Drosophila melanogaster: one gene and its partners. The protein of the gene in region 3 interacts with the protein of the main gene of each other region in a pairwise test. Each region holds a gene or a part of one and is shown on either strand. Other genes may lie near its edges.

The links. The genes of interacting proteins can lie anywhere in the genome.
Region 1: the proteins of CG5850 (region 3) and CG6337 interact in a two-hybrid assay, tested with the Drosophila melanogaster proteins (one large-scale study listed by BioGRID).
Region 2: the proteins of CG5850 (region 3) and mgl interact in a two-hybrid assay, tested with the Drosophila melanogaster proteins (one large-scale study listed by BioGRID).

The regions. Positions count from the first base shown.
Region 1 is NT_033778.4:13,832,987-13,837,514, reverse strand, and holds CG6337 (uncharacterized protein), read left to right. Parts: upstream 1-2,418; 5' UTR 2,419-2,452; coding exon 2,453-2,548; intron 2,549-2,668; coding exon 2,669-3,595; 3' UTR 3,596-3,940; downstream 3,941-4,528.
Region 2 is NC_004354.4:9,497,042-9,502,373, reverse strand, and holds the start of mgl (megalin), read left to right. Parts: upstream 1-2,244; 5' UTR 2,245-2,500; intron 2,501-5,332.
Region 3 is NT_033779.5:9,959,866-9,966,169, forward strand, and holds CG5850 (uncharacterized protein), read right to left. Parts: upstream 3,891-6,304; 5' UTR 3,528-3,890; coding exon 3,228-3,527; intron 3,148-3,227; coding exon 2,870-3,147; intron 2,813-2,869; coding exon 2,606-2,812; intron 2,550-2,605; coding exon 2,453-2,549; intron 2,240-2,452; exon of another isoform or gene 2,195-2,239; coding exon 1,490-2,194; coding exon of another isoform or gene 1,139-1,489; 3' UTR 585-1,138; downstream 1-584. Other genes in the region: Dref (DNA replication-related element factor), read right to left, coding at 4,680-5,002, 5,063-5,450, 5,511-5,803, 5,895-6,304.

The DNA of each region.
Region 1 (4,528 bases), on a different chromosome or scaffold from region 3:
TCGTGAAGTTTCCTATAAGTGGAGCCGCTATAAATATTTATTTATGGACATATTAAAAGCAACGTTGCTTCCTAGAAAATCTGCACAATTTGAAAACAGGCCACACTCAAAATCTATGCGTTTATTCGATATTAAAATGTTTATCCAGTAGATACTTTTTATTGGTAAATATTCAGTGGAGTGTCTTCATTGACATAAGAAATGATGTTATGTCTTTTTGAGTAATTTGAGTAAGTACAATGTTTGGCAAAACCAAAATAAAACAAAGAAACTAATAAATTGTTTGTTTAACAAGCTTGGTTTTGAAGAAACTAAACCGTTTAATGATCGCCTATGCAGAAATCAACATTGTTTCTAAGACAATCAAAAACATAATGATCGATTAAACGAATAAAAAACTAATTATTATTGGTTTTTTCTATCACGCTGACTATCCGCTTCTGTCAGCAATCGCGTTAATGGGTAATTAATCATGCGCTGTCTTAATTTCTCAACTTTATTCGATCTTACCAAATTAAATAGACTTTTGAAACTAGCAGAGCATTCGCTGTTCGTATTTCCGGTCTGTTTTACGAATTCGATCACCGATGAGACGTGAATAATTACTGGGTGAATGAGCTAATTTGCATATGCTTAGCATAATTACATTAGTGCAAGCATTCGATTCGGATGAATTTCGAAATGTATGAATGATTTCGCGGCTTCGTCTCTCCTTTTATTTCCTCAGCTCCCAAATTGGCTCCATCGAGGGCCCAAATAAATCAAAATCAAATCTAGATTAGGCAACCGCAGGCTAAGATTTCACTTTCGTTGCCATAAAATACTGATCACATGCTGTGCCCGGTGAAAGGCGATGGATTCCCCTGTTTAAAATCAAATTTCGAGTCGAATGTAAGCAATTGCAGTTCTCTTGTCTTCGACGGACCATTATGAATCGAAAAATAACAACACACACGACACAATATGTTGAAAAGATCGACTTAATCACCTTTTATGGATATCTGGGAATGATATGTTCAAAACACCTTCCGCGTTCACAAATCACAAAACTATTCGAAGATGCTGAAGACTCGAAGACCGGCGAGATTATAAGCGGCGCTCGACCCGCACACCTTGGTTTTATAGAGTCTGGAGCTGGACCGTGGGACATATGGCCAAAACTGGATGGGCCACCAATTTGAAACTTTTGGAATACCGACAAGAGCATATTCATCTTCATTTCGACGGGCTATCTGGTTTATGGGTCTATAGCTGTCTCCATTATATGCATGCTTAGTAATTGTCGATTGCCTAATGTGTTGGTGGCTATAACAACGCATATTAACTCATTTGAAACAAAAGAGAAAATAGTCAAACATGTTTTTAAATAGTTAATAATTGATGAGATCGAAGTCACAGTTGTAGCGCCTATAGGATTACAAATTTCAATGCAGCAAGCAAAGTTTTAGGAAAGTTTTTAAAGCGTCTCTAAGTAGTTTGTACTATTATATCCCTTGTAAATAAATAACACTTTGATTTTTATGTAAATAATACAATTACAGAATGATAAAGATGCAGACGGATGAATAATGGTCTCGACTTTCAATAACTATAAATTGAAATTGAACCATGAAGAGATTGATTAGTGGCCAATTTATTTGCATTTCAATTAACAGATTCGTGGAATCTGAATTTGTTGTTGCGTCTACTAAAAAGTTCATTGACTGCTGAAATCCCTTATGGACTTACCTACATATTTGCAAAATTTCAAGATGATCCCTCATTACTACTTCGAATATATACTACCTGTAGTATATGCTAGACTACCGCAATGGAAATTACCAAACAACTCACTTAGCACTTGGTTTACAGCAATTTGGCCAAGTCTTCCAACGGGCCTATCTATCTATCTGTCTATGTATCTTTCCATCTACGTATCTATCTATCAACGCTGTTGCAACTTTTATGGGCGCCACAAAGTATGACTGTGATTAATCATGCCTGCGCTGAAGACAAAACCTGAAGACTAAACGATAAGTTGGCATTAGAGGGGCGTTTACGATGCTCCATGGGCATATGGGCTTGGGTGTTTTTTTCTGAACTGGGCCAGTGGGGATTTCGAATTAACAGAGATACGAGAACCCACCGCCGAATCGCAACGATACGAAACGGGGCATTTGACAAGTTTATTGGGCAAACAAAGCGCACCCCGACTTTTCCTACCAACGTCGGCTTATCGAGGAGACCCAACCCGGAATATGAATACTACGGATAGTACGTTTGAGTGCTGCTGGCCAAGTGCGAATTCAAGGCCTCGTAGAAATCTACGAGTATTTGCACTTTTCTTGCGAAAGTAAGTCGCTTTGGTAAACTTCTATTTGCGTTTGCAATCAGAAGGAGAGTTTGCCGGTGCCTATAAAAGATCGTTCCATGGTTCTGGCGGCATTAGTTGGTGCGGATTTGGGTTTTCGTCATGTTCAAGTTGCTACTTTGCTGCCTTCTACTAACCATCGACAGTGGATGGGCCTTTAATCATGGCCAGGATCTAGTGGACTTTCAAACTTACGAGGTATGTGAGTCATCAAGAAAACAAAGTCTGGATGGGATTTAATTAGAAATTATATCTTGTATCTTATGGCATTGAAAAGGATTGTATTGAGTAATGGAATTCAAATCTTTCCATTTACAGGACAATTTCAACAAGACCTATGCCTCAACTTCGGCTCGCAACTTCGCCAACTACTACTTCATCTACAACCGCAACCAGGTGGCGCAGCACAATGCCCAGGCCGATAGGAATCGCACCACCTACCGCGAGGCAGTGAATCAGTTCTCGGACATCCGGCTCATCCAGTTCGCAGCCCTGCTGCCCAAAGCCGTGAATACGGTGACCTCGGCGGCCAGTGATCCACCGGCCAGTCAAGCGGCATCTGCCAGCTTTGACATTATCACGGATTTCGGACTCACCGTGGCGGTGGAGGATCAGGGCGTGAACTGCAGCAGTAGTTGGGCCTATGCCACCGCCAAGGCCGTGGAGATCATGAATGCCGTGCAGACAGCCAATCCTCTGCCCTCGTCCTTGTCCGCCCAGCAGCTGCTGGACTGTGCGGGCATGGGCACCGGATGCAGCACCCAGACGCCCCTGGCTGCCCTCAACTATCTCACCCAGCTGACAGATGCGTATCTCTATCCGGAGGTGGACTATCCGAATAACAATAGCCTGAAAACGCCGGGTATGTGCCAGCCCCCATCCTCTGTGTCAGTGGGCGTGAAGTTGGCCGGCTATTCCACGGTGGCCGACAACGATGATGCCGCCGTAATGCGTTACGTATCGAATGGATTCCCCGTCATAGTCGAGTACAATCCGGCTACCTTTGGATTCATGCAGTACTCCAGTGGCGTCTATGTCCAGGAGACGCGTGCCCTGACCAATCCAAAGAGCTCACAGTTCCTGGTGGTCGTGGGCTACGATCACGACGTGGACTCCAATCTGGACTACTGGCGCTGCCTGAACTCCTTCGGCGACACGTGGGGCGAGGAGGGTTACATCAGGATCGTGCGCAGGTCCAATCAGCCCATTGCCAAGAATGCCGTCTTTCCCAGTGCGCTTGCCTAAGAAGGATTCCGATTTGACCTTATTTCAAGTTAATAAACTTAAGTTTTATGTGTAAATTTTTATATGATGATTTTGTTTCGGATTCAGTAGATGCTGTAAGTTCTTTAAAAAAACTTAATGCTAGTAAGCAATACTATTATTATTATTATAGACGCATTATCTTTAAATCAACTAGAATTCGAGTAACAGATTCGGGAATATCTATAATAACACTATGATGATACCTTAAGAGTGTGCCTATCTATATCTATGATAGTTCATAGAATAGAAGAATAGTAATAGAACCATCCAAGAAATAGATTTGGGAATATCTCAAATAAAGCTAAGATAATTCATCGAGATCTTGAATATTACATAAAGAGTAATCTTGAAAAAAAATCCCCCGTCTTCTACCAAAAAGTATCGTTTGGTTTTTTGTTGTGAAAGCTTACAGCTTTTTTGTCTCCATTTATTGAATTTACCATTTTATTTAGTTTATTTATTGATTTTTCATCTACAAGCGGAGCTTTACAGACTTAAATGCTAAAAATTAACAAGTTCACTTTATTTTCTTTTCTTTTCTTGTTTTTCGCATCTTTGATCTGCTTATGGATTTTATACTATTATCTTTGCAGTGTTTTCTTTTTCTGTTATGTTTCTCTTGCATAATAAATAAGTTTCCCATTTTGTTGCTATCCGTGTTGCTGTGATATAAAAACGAAAGGAAATTATATAGATATATATAATATTTAGGTATTATATTTATGGTTATAGAATATTCGACTCAGCCAGCGCAGACAAAAGCTTCTTTTTTTTGGTGTGTGTTCTTTCTGTAGATTTCTTAATCTTAGTTCTCGTAAATTTTTTAAGTTTCAGTAACTTGTTTGGAAACGTTGTTATTATAAATACTTCTCGTTATTATATTTCAATTGCGTTAAATAATTTGAAATATAT
Region 2 (5,332 bases), on a different chromosome or scaffold from region 3:
GTTACGTGGAAAATAGCTTGTTGAAAAAATATAACATCAGTTAACCAACTTGTGTCGTGTTAACGTGTCAAACTTTTCCAATTACTCACATGCACTTGGGCTCACCCAAATAATTTACCTTATATCATATCCGTTGCATCCAGTTACATATCCGGAACAATAGTTAAACCAATTTCGAGATTAACAACACGATTAGTACGTATAGTTAATATCTACGTGGTTTCTGATTATTCAATAAATAACTTAGGAAATGTTATGGTTGGTGGGGAATTTCTTGAAATAAAAACTTTATTATTTTTGATATAATATTTAAACATATTTTGATGTATTGGCTTAAGTTAATAAGTTCGCATATAATTTGTGTAAGCCAGTCATTTATTTGAATTGCGATCAAGTGTGCAACCTTGGCGCACTGCCCCCCACTCGAGAACATGCTCTACGGCTGTTTAAACTTTGGAGATGGTTAATAAATTTATTTTGTTTATTTTCGGCCGGGTCACGCTTTCCCCAAATGACCCTCGTCATAAAACGCGCGAGAATCTCTGGGTAAATATAAATATAAGAATTGCACGCTTTGGTTTTTGTGCATGAAAAGTTTACTTCGCATTTCGGTTTCGGCCAATTGTTTTTCTTGGCCCTATCACCTTTCACTGCGAAATATGTCTAAACGAGAATGTTTTGTGAATCCATTAAGACGCAATAGAGAATTTTCCTATAGCTCGTAGAGCGTTCGGTGATGTCTCCGCAGCACTGGATTGGAAATGTATATATCTTTCTACTTGGCCACCTGATAGGCGAAACAGCTTTTCCCCTTCGAAAATCTCAAATTGTTCAATTCCGCTTCCAAGAATGCGGAACGGCCAGCAGGCGGTCAGGCAAAAGTTTTTAGGAGCCGAAACAGCTGTTCATTTGGCTGGTGACTGACTTGCTCTGCAATTAAAGCGATTTTTTTCGCGGAAGAAGGCCCTATTCGAATAGTTTGGATACACTCGAATTCTTGGGAGTAAATATTGAAGAACTTCTTCAAAATTCTCCTGCTCAGTTCTAAAACCAAAACAATGGGATTTACTTAGGTTCCGTTTCATATGTGTGTGAGTGTAAGCTTGTACTTGAGAACAAGTGCGTTTATTTTTAGCCGAGTATTGAATTAATTTTCGTACGGACTTGTAAAGGAGCTTACATTATTTTCGTAGAGCAACCTGGCAACCTGTTGAAGGGGCTTGCAACTCGAACCGCGTTCGCTGCCAGCATCGAGCACGTTGCACGTGGCAAGCAGCAATTGTGTGTTTACTCAATATTCTCGGCGTGCCGCAGATTGTGCCTTCCAGAAAGCAAAATAAACAAATAAAAGTTCCATGAAAAGGTATCATTTGTCAAGCGACAGCCGACAAATGAATACACATATGCATGTATGTATGTATGTATGTATGTCCTATGTACCCAACGACTTAGCGGCTTAAGTAGCTGCTCTAAATAATAAATTCAATTGTAATCAGAATCGTTTATGTAAATATTCAAATCGTCAATTTACCCGGACAGAGAGTGAGATAGAGAGAGTGTAAGAGTGTGACGTGGGGGGGGGGGGGGGTGGAATTGTCCTCCAATAATCCGCGAGGCAAGCAAAAGTCTGGGAGGGGGGGGGGTGGCAGGTGTAGATAAGCACCCCATTAAGACAACAATAAGCTCAACAAGTTGTTCTGGAAAACTGTCAATTAGAACCACCAACACGCACTGTGGCAGCAACAATTGTTCGAATGAAAACACAACATGCTGCATGTTGCACGCTCGAACATAGCCTTGCCATGGAATCGATGTTGCATCAGAGGTGTAGATGGGGGCTATTAGGAATTGCAGCGTAACTAAATAGTATTAGAACTTAAACGCAGAGCAGAGAACAAAGAAATGTGCACTCCGAAGCTGCGGAGTTCTCAAATAAAATGAAGCTAGCATTTTAGTAGAACTATTACTTGCTATTAAGTATGTACAATAATCTCAATAATAAGAACTAAATAATAATAATGAATTGGTTTGATGATGAAGCAAGCTCCTTGGGCAGTCATGAGCATACCAATGCAATTCTTTCGCTCTCGAAAGCGGCGCCTCTGTTTGAAGTCGCACTGCCTGTGAGTAGCGGCTGCAACGCAACATGTTCGATGGTTCGATGGTTCGAAGGTTCGATGCCTTCGGTTTTGGTTGGGCGGCGAGTGGGCTGCGCTAGCATCCGCTGGTCAGTCGCTCGCGGAGCGTCGTCGTGAACGGTCAGCCAGCGCGGCTAATAAGTAACCAACTGTAGTGACAGTGCGATAGTGACTCTGATCCGAACCCGAATCCCAGGCCCACAACAGATACGTCCAGCGTGTGGGCAGCCAGAACAGAGTGACAAGAATATCGGAGCCGACAACAACAGTAAACTGAAAGATAGAAAGAAAGAAAGAAAGGCCAACCTGCCGATTAAATTCCAATTGAGTGTTACGAGTTTTTTTTTCGAGTGAGTGCGGCGGTAAATATTTCGATCTTCTTCCCTTTTTTTTTTTTTTGCTGTGCCACCAACAGAAACCGAAAAATGCAAAAATTAAAAACCAATCAGTGAAAATCGCCAAAATTGCCAAAATATCAAATAGAAAAATATGGAAAATAGTTGAATCGAAGAAACGCAGACCGCAAAAATTTATAGAAAGAAAACAAACACACAACACACACACAAAGAAAAAACAAAAGGGGCAGACAGAAAGAAAGCGCTTTTATTATTTTATTTAACGATTTTTCTTCTTGCAATTTTTATTTTGCACACTTTGTTGTTGGGTCAGTCAGTTGGCGGCTTTCGCCACTTTACGAGCAACTTCCTTTTTTGGCCGGAGAAAAACCAGTCTGGCCAAGAGACCAAAAGACCCCTGGCCAAAAGACGTCGGTCGGTGGGCACCAAACACTGCGAATGTAAACAAAACAGCAGCAAACCGTATTTGTTTATGACTCGGCTTGGCCAGGATAAAGCCCAGAGACTTTGAGACCAACTAAATCCCACACCCCCAACCGCCAATCCCGCCCTCACCAAAAATATGATTTGCTAGCATTTCCCCCCATTCCCCGGCCGAGATTCTCAAGTGCGAGAGTTGCAAAAAAAAATGTGGTCCCCCCTCCCCCCTTTTATTGCCGCACCGCGTTGAAACGACACCCGGTGAAAGTTTCCCAGTCGCAACTTAGAACTCTCTTCATTTTCGGGTTTCTTTATTTTTTGCTTGATAAATGAGTCGCTGGCATAGCCCCCGGGGCGGTAAATCATCTCTGCTTGTGGCACTGACAATTTCACAAATTTATATATTTGCCACAACAACCGACCGAAACACTCACAGTCGAAAGTTTTCCACTTCGAGTGCAAATTTGACTGGCTTGGAAAAGTCCAGGCGAGCAAATTGGCCAGAGGTGTTGCCAACGAAAAAAAAAAAAAAAAATGAATTGGTAACGAAAACAATTGACGAAATCGGAAGTGACAGCATGATAGTTCAAGTTCAAACACGCATAATAACTTCATTGAAAACTGTAAACTTGAGAGTAAACAATAGTTTTCAAAGATTTCACGAAGTGTCTTCAGTTCAGCATATTAAATATACCCAAATACGGTTTCAAATTGACATAGATTAGTAATTTAACATAGGAACAGTTAAAAAAGTTAACCAGCTGGTGTGATAATATCTATGAAATTGTTGGTTTCTGGAACTTGAGAGATTCGCAAGTTCTAGCAAGCAGCGGTTGTTAATGCATATGAATACGAGACATCGAGCAATTTCGAAGATATTCCACGCCAGTTATCGCCCCCCCCGCCAGTAACTGGAGGCCAGCTCTAGCTCCCATTTTTAACTGGTTACCCCGCTCGAGAATTCACCATGTCGGCTCTCGGTTTTTTCCTTCGCTTTTCGCTTACTCCACACAACACAAATCGAATTGAATGGCAATCTGGAATATGCCAGGCAGATCCAATTGCATGCCACATATGCAGATGTAATGGGAGAGTTGGCCCACTCGCCACCCCCTTGTAAGCCCCCATCGAAACACCAACACACCCCCCCCCCCCCGGCCGCTTACAAAAATTAAGCCCCCTTAGCCGCCCCGCCAACTGTACCGCTGATCTGCTTGCCTCATTGCCGGTTAGAAAGCCAATGGAACGAGTTTCGTTGAGTGTGCAACTAATTTTCTAAATTGTTGTCGCTGCTGATCGTTGAGCGTGGCAAAAAAAAAGTAAATAAATAAAAAATACACACATTATTTATATGGCCAACGTCGCACAAAGAAATTATCTGTCACCAACATTGGTCATCAATTTTGATGGGTTTTCGGCGTCTAGAATAAGCCCTTTTATCACTGACGTTTTAATCAGATCTCTTCTTCAGAAGTATACAAAATCACGGTATGATCTTGCTTGAAGATGATTTCATTTTGCTAAAACGTGTTTTAATTCACTTTTAAATCATGAATCATAAATATAGGTATTTATGTGACTATTTTATATAGGGTAATACGATAATACAGAATCGTATATACGTACGTACTTTTGTAAAATAAAAAAAATTTAAAAACGGAATAATAAAATGTATATTTATGGAAATTTTTGAACGATGGCATATTTAAATAGATAAATAATTATGAGAGTGTGGGTGATAAGGCAAAGATTTTAGATTCAAAACCATCCATTCATCATTGCGAAGATCGAACTGTCATTTTTGCGATTGATTGATTGAATTTTAATAAAAGTCTTTGAAGTCGGACTTATTTATTATTTTTTTTTTTTATTGGGTTTTTCTTCTCTTGCGAGTGCGTCGTCATCATTTAATGGTGAAGATAGAAGAAGAATTATCCGAGCCCATAGAAGGCGAAGAAGAGGAAGAAGACAGGGCTAAAGAGACAGAGCGAGAAAGAGAGTAGGAGAAAGGGAGAGAGGGATAGAGAAATGTTAATGGATTAGGAAGCGAGCTCAAAAGGCAGCGTAGAAGAAGAATCGAATCTCGGCTACTTGCGACATTAGCCCTCTCCCTCCCACTCCCGCCCGATGAAGGCGGGCGCGAAAGAGAGGGGACGAGAGGGAGAGCGAGAGCGGAATTGAATGGCCAAAGGAAAGGTGAAAAGAGGCAACTTGGCTTAGACGATGATGATGACTGTTTCTTCTGTTTGTGTACGTATGTGTGTGTGTGTGTGCGGACAAACAGGTATCACGCACACACCTACAGACACACTCACACCTGTGCGGAATAACTAAGCAGCGACCCGATTTTCAACAGAGAGCCAGTGAGAGAGATAAGAAGAGAAGAAACAGAGCCAAGAATCCGATCCATGCCATGCG
Region 3 (6,304 bases):
TTTTAATTGATGTTGATTGATATTCGGTTTACTTGTTTTTCTTTCTATTATCAGTGTTTAGTACTCGATTTGATTTATGTATGTTCGTAACGAGAATTCCGTGAATGCCTTTAAATGTACTTCGGTCTACTTGTGTATCCATGTATATGTCACACATTGTCTTCGTTTTCGTCAACTTTTTCCTTTAGGTCTTCTGTTATGTTCCGTATCTTTGTTCAAAAATGTAAAAAAGCAAGTATTATGAAAAGACATAGGATTCGAAGTGCTTAAACAAATATTTCAATAAATGTTACAAATGAAATGAAGTCGTATTCTCTACTTGCAAGCGTGGAATGTAGTTCTCATCATTATTTTATCTCATGTCACCCAACTAGATGATCCTAAAACAATGTTAGGGGATTTTAAATGACCAACAAAATTCAAATTTCTTATCACATATTAACAAAAGCAACAAATACATAAACAAAAGCATTAGTGTCGAAAATTGGAATGATATGCACAATGTTAGTACACAAATGGGTGCAGTAGCAAATGAAAATAATCACGAATTGTACGAGATTAAAACATAAAAGGCGGTTTCGATTATTTTCCAATATTATATTATTGATGTGTATATTAGTTTTACAATAAGAATTTCTATTTAAATACAAGTCACGCCCTTTTCTGACCGGCGGCAGTCACAAAATTCACAATCGGTTCAGGCATGTTTTTTTTTAATTAACTACTTCGCCACACAAAAAGTTGGAGACCTACATAACTATGCGGGGTCACCTAGCAGGGATGTATAGAGTAAAAATATCGTTTCGGGAAGGTCTGTTCACAAACAATCAGCACATAAAAAGTACTTACAAAATATCTGACCCCTATATTCAATGATGATTCTTTGGGATGCTAAGGGATGTGTGGATTCACTTGTGCGCGCTATCAGGAGCAGCGATTACAGTGAATGGCGATCTAAAATAAGTTGCTTTCGCTATGAAAACTAAGGCCACAATTCAAATGCCCCATTTGATGGGCCGCTAGAAAGTGTTCGTTTCATGAGTATTCTAAGCCTAGCACAAATCAAGATATGGGATGGGGAAAAACAATAAATATAAGCATAGCATATAACTGATAAGGGGCTTTAAGGTCAGCGCGTCTAGGTGATGTACTCTCGATCGCGGCGTCGCCGCGTCGTGGAGGCAATAAAGACCACGGGTTGCACACCAGCACCGTCATCTTCAGCGTCTCCATCCTCTCCGTCCACGTCCAAGTCACCGTCGTCAGCGTCATTATCCCCGCCCGTTGAGTTCGACCACTCGGACGCCGACTGATTGCTGCCAGTGGCACTAAACTTGAGGCTGCTTGACATGCCAAACGATACGGATAGCGAGGCGCTGAGTGACGAGGCATTCAACTGCTGGCTCACGTCCACGCCATCTTCGTCCTCGAAAGCGTCGTCAATGTGCGGGTGCTGATGTTGCTGGTAGTGATATTGTTGGTAGCGGTGTCACCTGCCTGCGCCCGCACCCAACAGCAGGGCATAATCATCGTTGGACTCGGGAATTGGCGCCGCTGCCGACGCGGCACCAGGGGGCAGGCGCAGGAAACTGCCACCGCCGCCAGCACCCGCACCCGGATCCCTTTCGCGCTCGCGAAGATGCAGTGTGTCGCGTTGACGGGTCGACGGCTGAGAGCCTGCCGCTCCCGGCAAGTGTAGTTGTTGTTGTTGGTAGTTGCTATTGCTACTGTTCCCATCGTCGGCCACGCCTGCTAAAGGAAATCGAGATTGGGAGTGAGTAGATTGACTTTCGGGCAGTGTATTCAGCTTGCCATCATACACAGGCACGATCAGGCGACTGGACGTTGCACCATACATGTTACCTGATTGTGACGAGTTGCCCGGCAGCTGCTGATCTTGCCGCTTGCTGATCAGATACTCGGACTCACTGCTGGAGCGGCGAGGACTGCGCGCCAGCGGCTGGTATGTGCTGCGTCCCTGGAAGCGACGACTCAGTGAACTGCCCACGACGCCCAGATGCTCGGTGACATCCTCCTGCATGTCGGATATGTCCATCATGGAGAGGAAGGCGCGACACCAGCTATGGTTCGGGTTGTTCCAGTACTGCGGCGAGTTGATGTGAAACGGATGGTGCGGGAAGCTGTAGATGTGAGCCACGGCCGCGATAAACATTTCGATGCAGATGAGGAAATTCTGGTTGGCGATAACAAATACATACATATTTGAATTGGTTTTTGGAAACTTTCACTTCGGTTTCATTTGTTGTGTTTGCAAATTTGGAAGTTATGCTTGATAAAAACTCTTAGTCATCAGTATTAAACGAACTTGGGACTGTTTTCGGTTATAAGATAAGGTTGGTATGAAAAAATCATGCTTAATTTACATATTAGCTCTTTACTTATAGAAATAACTTATTGCCAGATCCATTCGGCTTTTAAATAGGTCACTCACCTGAAGCAGGGAAGCCAGATTGGTGTCTCCCACATCCGACCCAAAGATGTCCTTAATAATATTATAGTATACCAGTACGTTGAGTAGCACTCCTTGGCTACGGTGGAGTAAAATATTCTTAACCAATCTTAAATGCTTTCATGTGGTACTTACAAAAACGAGAAAAACACCACAGCCTTGATGCACAGGAATTTGGGAATAGGCTTCATTGGTTTGAGATCCTCCTTGTTTGCACGGTAAAATAGCACCAGGCAATACATGGCCACGAACTGGGATATATTGTTGACCACCACAATATAGGGGAAGGCCACGTTGCCCGCAAACTCGCCCTCGCCGTAAACGCCGCATAGCTCGCAGATGCTACGAAATTCCGATTAGAGTTGACTGTTAAACGGAAAAGCACATCCCGACACTCACACAGAGATAAAGGTGGTAATGGGGCGCACGACCGTGTACTGGAGGATGCCGTGCTTGCAGTTGTGGATGAATTCACGACCCATCACCCACGGCCGCATGCAGCAGAGCGGAAAGAAGTGAGGCACCTGCGGCTTGTACTCCATTGTGGCCTCTAGGTCCATACCGAGATTCAAGTAGTTGAGCAGGTACACCATGAAGTTGTAGATAACGTACGCCTCGTAGCACTCGCGCAGTGAGTCCACGTAGATGGAGTGCTTCGGAAAGAAAAGGCCGATCCACTGCAAGTGAATAGAGAGTATTAGGTTTCTTGTGGTCTCCAATTCCGCAATATCGAAGCTCACATCGGTGGCCCACTTACCGCGTTCAAGGCGTAGATAGGCACCATCCACAATATGCGGATTATGTGCTTCTGCAGTATGGGCTTGGTAAAATGAATGACGTGTTGGATGATATGCCAAATGGACACGGGCACTGCGGACAACACAAACAGACCGCCGATGAGAATGAGCTGGTCATTGCGCTGGAAGCCATCCTTCACGGAGTTCACAATGAGCAGCGGGACCACGATGATGGCGAAGATGACATAGGTGATAATGAGCAGCGGGCGTATCCAGATGCGCCACTCCTCGAAGAAGCGTCTTACGTCCAAGCTGCACATCTTTGCCTCTGGTGCACTCCTTGGGAATGCTCCTTGAAATGTGCTGTTCACCGGAGTACCTAATATCCGGGTTGATATCGTTGATTCGTTGACGTCGACGCCGCCGCCCCGATTCTGTTTTCACTTGGGTTTCCGCTTTCTTCCGCTCCGATCCGCTCTTCTCCGCCAGAAATTCTCTCACAGCAGATTACAGGACACGGCGGTGGCACCCACGCTGGAGGCGCATTTTCAGAGATCTCCTGCTGGCAGAGCAAGTTCTTCGATCTATTGGTTTCAGTCCTATTGGCAGTAATATCGCGGCTTTCGTGCCCTTCTTTTGTGAGGAATCCAGTTCGTGGGTCGGGTGCCTACGTCTAATTGGTGTGACCAGCCAATGCGAAATCCGAAATGACTAAAATACAGACTTCCTCCCGGTTTTATATTATTTAAAATTTTTACTATTTGTTTTATTTTAAAGTTTAAAAGCTATCAGTAAAAAAATTAACTTAATTAAAAAACAAATGTCGAAGATTATTTAGATTTTGTTTGTCGCAGACGAAAAATATGAAAATTTTCCGATGATTTAAAAAAGGGAAATTTCGAGGGCTGCAGAGTAAAAAAATAAAACATATTTTGAAAATTAAAGAAATATGTCAAATATATAAAGTAGCTAACTCCAAACCGACTACTAATTGTTTCGTAGTTCAGAAATTTTTTTAATACTGAATTAATTGTAAAATATCTAATTTTAGTTAGTTCAATAAAACAATTCACGAAAGTTAGATGCATTTTATTTATTTATAAGATTAAAATATCAATTATGTACAACTAAGTTAAGTATTTAATTAGTTCTCTTGAAATGGATATAAGGGGATTTACAAGTGAGCTTGATAAGCGTGATATTTTTTCGTTATGGATTTATTAAACAAATATTCTTAGATTATCTGTTTGATTTGAATATATGATGTCAAAATGTTCCCTTAACATTTATACGTCGATAACTTAAGATGTTCCGTGTACGTCCCAAGGCTGTCTTTTGGTTAAAAGTACTGCGGAATCGCTATTACTATTTGCCTCGCCCCTGGTAGTCATTTTCATATACACAAGATCGGATTACGTTAAAAGTAATTAAAAAGTATTTGCATTATAAGAAACAGTAGTCGCCAGTGCAGACTAATTGTTGTGATGATGAAGAAAGAGGATGGCGTCGATGTGACTACCGGTGAGCATGAATCGCTTGTTGAAGTCGTATATTTGGTCTCTCAGCGCCTTCTTGAAGCTGAGCGTCACCACGCCGGGCACACTATGGTACAGGCTGGCCAAATCGCGGAGCGTTCCATAAATGTGTCCCATCTTGAGCCACCACTCGATGGGCGACTCATCCAGCTGAACGACCACCTCGTTGCGATATCGCTTAAGATCGGACTCCACGCTGCTGTCCGCATCTCGCTTCGGAGGATTTGGTATCTCGTTACTGTCAAACAGCAGTTTCAGACCTACGGGCATTTTCGTTTAGTCCATGGTTTATGATAATCGATTTAGTTCGATGCACTTACCCAACTTCTTTGGTGCACTGCCGTCCACTACTCTTGGTTCTGACTTAATGGCCACCACGCTGGAGGTAGCTGCCACTTCGTTGGATTCCCCTTCGCCCACTCCACCAAAGTTAATGTTATACTTATGGGTCAGCATACGAACGGTTCGCTCTAGGTTGTCAATGGTGGTCAGGCGGTGGAAGCGTGGGTCCAACAATGCAGCAGCGGTCAGATTGTCATTGGATATAACGTGCGCCTGGAGGACACTGGAAATGGTCCGCTTCAAATTCATCATTAGGGGATCGTCCTGCTCGGCGATGCCCAACTTCTTGATAAGAATCTTTGAAGTGATTGGCGAAAGCATGCTACACAAGGGAATGTCTTCGCCACGCAGCGTGTCCAAAGCAATCTAAAAGATTTCACACAATAAGAAAACTGCTTAAACGTCTCATTTAGCTTGATGGCTTACCACCAGAGCACTCAGGGCCTCCGTCACCGTCTTGGCTGATATAACCAGGTGATCCATGTCCTCGGACCAAGATATGGACTCGGCAAAGAACTTCAATGTTTCGTACAGTGTCCAGGGGAAGTGCTCGTTGTACGTGGGCATGGGCACCTCGGACACCTTGGAGGCAATCTCCGTTGAATGACGCTGCATTAGGTCCTTCACCTGCTCCAATAAAGTGGCCACCTCTTCGATCTCAAACACACGACGCAAACATTTGTCAATTACCGAAACGTAGCACAGCGAAATGGGTATATCTGCAATAAAAGATTCATATTCATTAGGAAGTCCAATATTTGATATATATTCTATATAAGGTAAATAATTCTGACTTGCTAATGCACTCACTTTTCTCTCGCAGATAGGTGTGCAAAAGGTCCTCTTCCTCGTCGTAGTTTATGATGGCCAGTGTGCAATTGGCCAAATAGAAGTCGGTCAGCAGATCGTCAAAGACGATGTAGTCGTTGTACTCCACGGTGGCATACAGCATACCGCGAACTGAGTGCGTCTCCTCGTCCAGAAAGTGATGGAAGATGCTAAGGAAGCGCCGCTGTTCAACATTCACCCACATCTCAAAGGCGAGAGAGAAGGGCTTCTCGGAGGTGAAATCGCGCGTGATTTCGCCAATCTCCAGAAACTTGGAGGCGTGCATCTCATTGATCAAAGAGTCGATCTTGTGTGGCTCGGGCATGGCTGCCGAATTGCCTAGGACTTGACGCAGGAATTCACCAAAACCGGCATCGTACAGAGAATCCACA